Linked DNA regions of Oreochromis niloticus. The protein of the gene in region 2 interacts with the protein of the main gene of each other region in a pairwise test. Links are inferred from orthologs where the notes say so. Each region holds a gene or a part of one and is shown on either strand. Other genes may lie near its edges.

Evidence for each region. The genes of interacting proteins can lie anywhere in the genome.
Region 1: the proteins of nmi (region 2) and brms1 interact in binary tests that used the Homo sapiens proteins (3 or more experiments, as listed by UniProt). The link is inferred for Oreochromis niloticus from reciprocal best matches to the Homo sapiens genes NMI and BRMS1.

The regions. Positions count from the first base shown.
Region 1 is NC_031967.2:10,446,911-10,450,664, forward strand, and holds the start of brms1 (breast cancer metastasis-suppressor 1), read left to right. Parts: upstream 1-1,081; 5' UTR 1,082-1,231; intron 1,232-1,491; exon of another isoform or gene 1,492-1,863; intron 1,864-1,972; 5' UTR 1,973-2,063; intron 2,064-3,754. UniProt on the Homo sapiens protein: Transcriptional repressor. Down-regulates transcription activation by NF-kappa-B by promoting the deacetylation of RELA at 'Lys-310'. Promotes HDAC1 binding to promoter regions.
Region 2 is NC_031987.2:33,068,544-33,072,297, reverse strand, and holds the start of nmi (N-myc-interactor), read right to left. Parts: upstream 2,263-3,754; 5' UTR 2,071-2,262; coding exon 2,032-2,070; intron 1,936-2,031; coding exon 1,870-1,935; intron 646-1,869; coding exon 487-645; intron 390-486; coding exon 273-389; intron 1-272. UniProt on the Homo sapiens protein: Acts as a signaling pathway regulator involved in innate immune system response.

The sequences.
Region 1 (3,754 bases), on a different chromosome or scaffold from region 2:
CTGGGGATACCTGCAGGAATACCATCGTACTTGGAGGATGGTTAATATAAGTTAAGTGAACGAGTGCATCATGCCATTGATAACTTTTCACCAAAGGTTCAGGGAACAACAAGAGCAATGAACAGAACAGGATAAATGCCAGTATTAGATTTGATGTTTTAAACATTGCAAGGACGTTAGCACGGACGTTTAGTTCACGGTTCCAACATTACCCCACCACCAAAAAAATAGAGAACTTTGGGGGAGAAATTGGGATCGTTCTCCTATGTATGGGGTTTAATTACACCATCACACCCCTGAATTACAGTGTCTTACAAATGCAAACTCAGCCTATTTGACCACATTACCATAATTAAGTATAGGGGTGTGAGAGCAGCTGCACAGTGCTAGCAGTGGAAGAGCAATTGAAAAAGAATAACCATTGATCGTACAGTACTGCGCCCTATACACACTATGCTAAGCTACATTTCTATAAGTATTTTATAATGAAATATTTGCCTTAGATCTCGGGATTTAAATTGTATTATCAGGTTTGCGCCTCGTGAATGAAAATAAGTTCAATTATAAACCGTATTTTTAGAATCATATATGTAAAATTTGGATTATTTTTTATTTTGTTTTATATTTTAAAATAATTAGAAACCAATTTTTCTCCAGTTATAGTGTTAGGTTATTATATTATATTATATTATATTATATTATATTATATTATATTATATTACAGCAAGGTCTTAGGTCAAACAGCTCCAAATCCTTGTTGCAAACAACGGGTATACTGAATTCTATAGTATTCATGAAGAAATATGTTTGTCTTCTTTAAGTGTCCTCTTTAAATAATTACATCTATCTTTATGAAGTTGTACCAAAACACCTTATATCACCGAGACAATGTGTTTCTCACTATTACATGCACTCGCAATGGGTTATAAGCCATCTTTCTCGCCTAAAGACAAACATTTCTTCATTTTGTGAATAATAAGGAAGGCGACCTGGATTATAATTGGCTTACTGGATCTGGTTGAGTATTTCTGATTGGACAAGAGACTTTCGGGTTGATCGCTGCTATTGGACAGTTCAGTGCTCGGTCTCCGCGCTCATTGGCTGAACTTCCGGGCTTCAGAGTCCGGCAAAGTGTGGAACTAAAGAAGACTGGGACGAAGAGGAAGTACTTTTTAAAATGGAAATACAGTAAATCATACTTGAACTTTTCACAGCAGAACAACAGGACGCGGTGAGCGAGCTTTTCTCTTGACTGTCACATTTATGGAAAGAAGGGTTATTTGTTTACAAACAGCATCGCCTGCATCTGTTGACGGATAACGTTATTTGTTAATCCGTACGCTGTAGGAAGGTAGGGTCAGTATGGAAGCCCCTCTGGCGATGCTTCACTGAGTTTGATGGGTGTTTTTCTTCTACGAACCAGCACACACTCTAAGAGAAAACACTTGGCCATTAAATAAGATGAGTATTCGGACAAGGTGATGAACAGGCAGTCATTCCTTCGCTGCAGGGTTTCAATTGTTAGCTAGTGTTGCACTTGACTTGTCCGTGGTCTAGTTCCCGCTAATTTTAAAAGAAAATGCAACAAACGCGTCTCTGTTATTTTGAGGGGAACTGCAATTAATTTCGCGTTCAATACAATAGGTTTCAGGCTAATTTGGGCATTTTATTTTACTCTATGCACCGCCGTAGCTGTTATAACGTACACGGTTTTACTTTGACATCCCGGAAGCTAAAAGATAAAGTTAGACCGATTGAGATGGGACTTCCGGTAAGGTAACAAATAAGACCCCCGTTAATTGGTGAAGCCAAATTGTGGAGCAACTTTAAAGTGATATTTCAGTTATAAACTTTTTTCTAAAGGTGTGTTTTATGAGGGATAAGCAAGACTGCGTTATTTTAGCTTGTTGCCTGCCTGTATGTCTGCGAAGCCAGTCATGTCATTTCCGGTGTTGTGTTGTGTTTTTTGCAGTTCACTTGGCCGAGGTTATGGAGGCCATACAGTAGCTCGGGGTCCCACGTCCTCAGTCTGCTGTTAAACCTTATTCCACTCCGTCTGCCGAGTAAGCAAAATTTCACTGTTATTAACCCACGGGCAGGTCTTAATTTTACCAGGACAATTTTTATGTGTTTTATGCTTTGCGTTTATTTTTTACAGACTGTAAAATATGAAATATGACCCCTGACAATTTATGTTGTTTTCAAATGTATTCGTTGTTGTAAACATCCCAGTCAGTGTTTTATAATTTTGAGTTTAATGTTGTTGGGACATTAATAGTGTGCTTATGCAGCTTCTTACATATAATTTATAAAATAATTGAATTTTCCAAAAATATGTTTTTAAACTATGATTCTTTATAAAGTCTATATTTAGGATGTACCCTTTGGAGTTGTGTGTAGCGCTGATCACTTATTTATGAAGTAAGTCAAGAATAATTAAAACACTGATGTCAATGAAAGTTTAACAGACACTTTGGTAATATATCATTATTATTATTTATTTATATAACTTTTTTTTAGAAAAATTATATATGCACACACATAAGTAAGACTTAGCTTACATGAACCATAATTTTCTGGGTTAAATTGCATTTTTTTTTTTTAAGTTTTCATTTTTGGTGTATGTAGTACTGTGCAAATGTCTTGAGCCACCTCTCATGTCTTTACATTTTTCTTCCAAGGAGACAGACTTCCTTGTAATTCTTTTATTTAAAGTGTTCTTGAGCAATAGTTCTCCAGGCTTTCTGGAGGTGTTTCAACGTTTTGGTTTTTTTTTTTCTCTTGTTTTCAGTCCAGTACTTGTAAACAAACTGGTATTTATAGTGGCTTTCAGCTCAGTTAATTTACTACTGCAAGTCCCATTCATCCAATCACACACACACATCCATACAGTACTTTCATCTAGCTACTTTCCAATTGGTAGACAACCCGCTCTGCCACCTGAGCCACAGCTGCCCCCATCTACCTGAATGTTTGTTTGTTATGCCGCTTAACACTGACCTATGAATTATTCAAGCAAATTCACCTAACTCAATTGATGAACCAGTGGTGTGTCTACACATAACAGGAAGCAGGCAAATTTGAATTTTGTTTTGGTTCAAACTGAGAGGATGTCAGGAGAGAGGTACAACACTGAGTATGCAGCTGTCTATAAAACACAGTGGAAATGTGAACACAAAAATTAGCTTTAGATTTTCATAGCAGCAACATGACAATGATTTCAAGCATGCTGCCAGTTAGAACCATATCACATCATCTCTGATATTCCATTATCCCAATTTTAAAAAATGTAGCTAAAAGACGTCCAACAAAGCACAATGCGCTGCACAATATGCAAGAAAACTGTTCCAGCTAAATGTAGAAATAACAGACTTGTTTCATCACTTGAGGCAAAAACACATCATCGAGTACACCCAGGCTACGAAGGAGGAGATACTAGCAGCTGGTGGTGTGTGACCCAAATGTAAGCAGATGACTCCACCGAGCGCAGCTGGAGCACTCACTGGTCGCACTCCACATGACAGGAAGAGCAAACTGTGGATGGAAATTACAGATGCAGTTACATGTGGCAGAGAAGGGTTTTAAGCAACAGGTTAAAAACTTTGGCCCAACGTACAACATCGCAGGCTGAAAGTATTCTTTCATTTTATTATGTGACAATACTGTGCTATATTTTTGAGGCCATATTGCCCACATCTTCTGCTAATGCAGTACAAACATATCTGGATAGAATTGGCTGTGTTGAAGAGTTTAC
Region 2 (3,754 bases):
GCAACTTGCTAAAGGACATTTTAATATGTTTGGTGGTGCATGTATATACTGGAGCCTGTAAGTTTACTTTTGACCATGTGTGGAAAATCCCAAAAAAAATTCAAACTTATGCTTCCAGTTTTCATTAAACAGATATTCTGTATAATTATTCCACCCTGGAAAAACAAGCATTCAAAGAAATCATTACCATAATTACCATCACATTAATGCCTGTGATTATTGTATGTAAATGTGAGCAGATGGACAGATCTGAAAGTGTTCCTGGTTTTTACCTTGAATTTCTGCTGTAACTTGCAGGACTCTGTCTTCTTAGCCTCCAGTTCAGCCTGACATCTCTTCAGTTTCCCCAGCAAATCTTGATTGTATCTAGTCAGCTTCTGGATTTCATCCTATGGAAAAGAATAAAATGGAATATTTGGTGAGAGTTTTGTACTCTCAGTTCCTCTGAGTGTAATGTAGATGTTACAGAGAAGACTATAAGTGTACCTGAACTGTTTTCATGCTTTGATTAAATTCATCCTGGGTCTTCTGTTGGTTTTTGACACAAACGTTCATCTCCTGCTGTGCCTCTGACTTGGCATCATCTTCCCCCAGCTTTTCCAGTATCAGCCTGGCTTTCGTATCATCCGCTTTTTCGAATTTAGCCTTTAAGAGATATGGGGGGTGTTCAGAGAGAATACAACTGTGGGCAGTCTACAAAGAGACTACATGCTACTCAAATAAAATTATTCTCTCACTGACAGACATTTAAACATGACCAAATATACTCAAGTCATTCTGAATGATATAATACCACTGCTGATAAGTGAGAAAAGTACAGATTTGGAAGAGAAACAAGGCTTTACTTAGTTTTTATGTCCTTATGAGGGAAAAGTGGAAGAACTGAAGCATTTATAAATAGTTTATGATATAAATTTAAAAGAGAAATCCTAAACAATGCTGTGCACTTGGCTCACTGACGAAACTCAATATTCGTTCTGCGTCCCCCTAGTGTTGTATGCCTGCATTTTAGTTGACATTAACCTTATGTACCTTTATTTATTTTCTATATAAACAGGCTCCTGAGCAATCACTAATCAAGATCTGTACTGATCACGGTAATTGTGCATGTTTCACAGGATAATGGTGCAGCCGTTGACAGACTATGTGCCAGTCTTTCCCCCAAACAAAGGACTAAAACAGTGTTTATTCATTTTTGGTCGAGCTCACTTCACCTGCACCTTGTTTGCTAAAGTGTGAGCCATCAAAAGTTCAAAAGCCGTCAAAATAGTTCTTAGTTGAGCAAATATAGGCCTACACCCTATGGAATGCTGCCTGGGCCCATTCCATCTGACTTTCAGTTGCTGAAGCGAGCTGCTTTACGGTTTCTCCCTGTTTACTGCAAACCTCAGCTGCAAACTGCATGTTCTGTGCAGCCAAATATAAGTAACCATTTAAAGTTTAATCTCAAATGTGTAAATAAAATGTATCCCGTGATGTCTCAATGCTAATAAATTATATCAATGAATATTATGACATTTATTATAATATGGGCATTTAGATAGACTCTTTCAGGCTTTTCAGTCCAGTGCGTTTATTTGTAGAACATACTTAGTTCCGGGCTTGCCTTTACGATGCAGGATTGCATCTCGACTTAAATAAGAGATCTGAGAACTGTAATTACTGTTTAAATCACTCAGATCACTCACAGTACTGAGTAAACAAACCACCTTCTTCTATAAACGGAGAATGAAGACACTTCCGGCTGAGCAGTTGTCGTTTTCCCATAAATGTATTTTGACGATTGGATCGTGAACTTATTTTACTATTGAACTAAAACACTTCACGCCTGAAAATGGAAAATGTAGTTCAGCATTAGTTCCGGCCTACCTTCCATGCCTCCAACTCTCGCTTGGCCTCCTTCAGTTCACCGTCTTTATCCAGGCCTCCTTCCTTCTGCCAAGAAAGAATGGCATCGTTAACAACTGTGGACCACTTGTTTCTTCTTAGACGGACTAAAACAAACAAACAGACGAACACATTATTACTCACCTTATCATTTAGCGAGCGACTACCGAAGACCTCAGCCATGGTCTGAATGACAAAAAAGAAACAGATATGAAAACTTCACTTGGTAGCTACGATCCAAAAATCAGCCAGCTGTGACTGCACTGCCTCTTTTTTGAGTACTTATTATTTTCTGTCGAAGTTAGAAAAGAAACAAAGTGGCCCTGTTGTGCCGGAAACAGCTCCAAATCAAAAGTGAAAGTTACAGCCTGGTGTGACGAGCTTCCCGGTATGGAAGACCAAGTGTGACAAAAGTTCACAGTCAAAGAAATAAATTAATAAAAACATCTCGTGTGTGTGTTGGAAGCTACTGATTCTTTAGATAAAGGAAAAAACACGCAATTTTCTGGCTAAAAATATGCATGAAATTCTTAACCCATTTAATTACAAAAACAAACAAACAAAAATATTTTTAAAACAAAAAACGATTTTACATTTTTTTTGTATGTGTATTTTATTTTAAATAGTACAATATGTTACCAGCACCTAAAAAATCCATAGACGGGGGGAACGTGGAATGAAACACAAGAAGCGAAACATGGGAAGAGAAAAGAGAAACAAGACACAAGGACACACACGCACACATAAACACAAACACACAGGGAGGGACACAGAGGTCAAACACTATGGTGTTATTTTTGTCTCACTATTCTGAGAGCACGTAAAAAAAAAAGTACAAGTGTTGCATTTTGAGGAGAAATTTATTCCTCTCGCTCAGGTTTTGCATTTGCTCTTGCTCAGATCTCTGCGGACCTGCTCTCAATGTGTTGCTCGCGCTTTCAACATCTCTGCCCCTGCACGTTCAACTCTTTCTGTACAGCATTATATTTGTGCCACAAAACCAAAAAATCACAGATTTGGATGCAAAAATTCTGATTGGCTGCTTTAGTTTCTCCATTCAGCTCGCTAGCTACTGTAACCAAACCCAGGCAAATATCCCAGTATGCATTTCGTCCAAAACTCAAACAAGGCATTTGCAGAGGAACGCAGAGCGGCGGAGTTTGAAATATTACTCTTTCTGGATCACAAAATAAACTTTTAAGATATTTTCAGGCTACAAAGCAGGCAATATAAGAATAAGAAACTCAGAACAGACTAAACTTAAGACTACTAATGAACCTAAAACATAAACATAATACAAATTAACACCAAAACACAAGAAACTCAAAATGCTGGGTCAACATGACCCAGAACTCTCAGGTGACTACATAATGAAGAGAAGGCCAAGGGTTTGCAGCACTCAACAAAGCAAAGGGTGGCTACTCTCAGGAATCTCAAATATAAGACATAGTTAGAGTTATTTATCAATTTTTTGATAAATAACAACAAAATTATATTTGTATCACTGGCTGTTATGGGGAGACCCTGGAAACTGTTCAGAGAGTCTTTCCTTTATTCTGCTCGTGCTTCACACGTGTGCTGCTTCTGCAGCTCCGGGCTGCACTTTACAGCACAGTCTCTTCTGGTAAAGCTCACGTCTGCTTCTCCGCTGCCACAAGGGAGGAACAATGTTGAAGTTCTTTTCAGAAGTAATCGATGTTACAGAAGTAACAACAAATAAGAAGACGTCAATAAGCTCATCTATTTCTGCTCAGAGTGGCACAGTCTAAAGAAGTCAGTTTCCTGGATGGTGATGTGTAAGCAGCACATATTGGAAGTTACTGTGAAAGCAATGGAAGGAAAACTGAAAAGGTAGCAAGTCAAATGC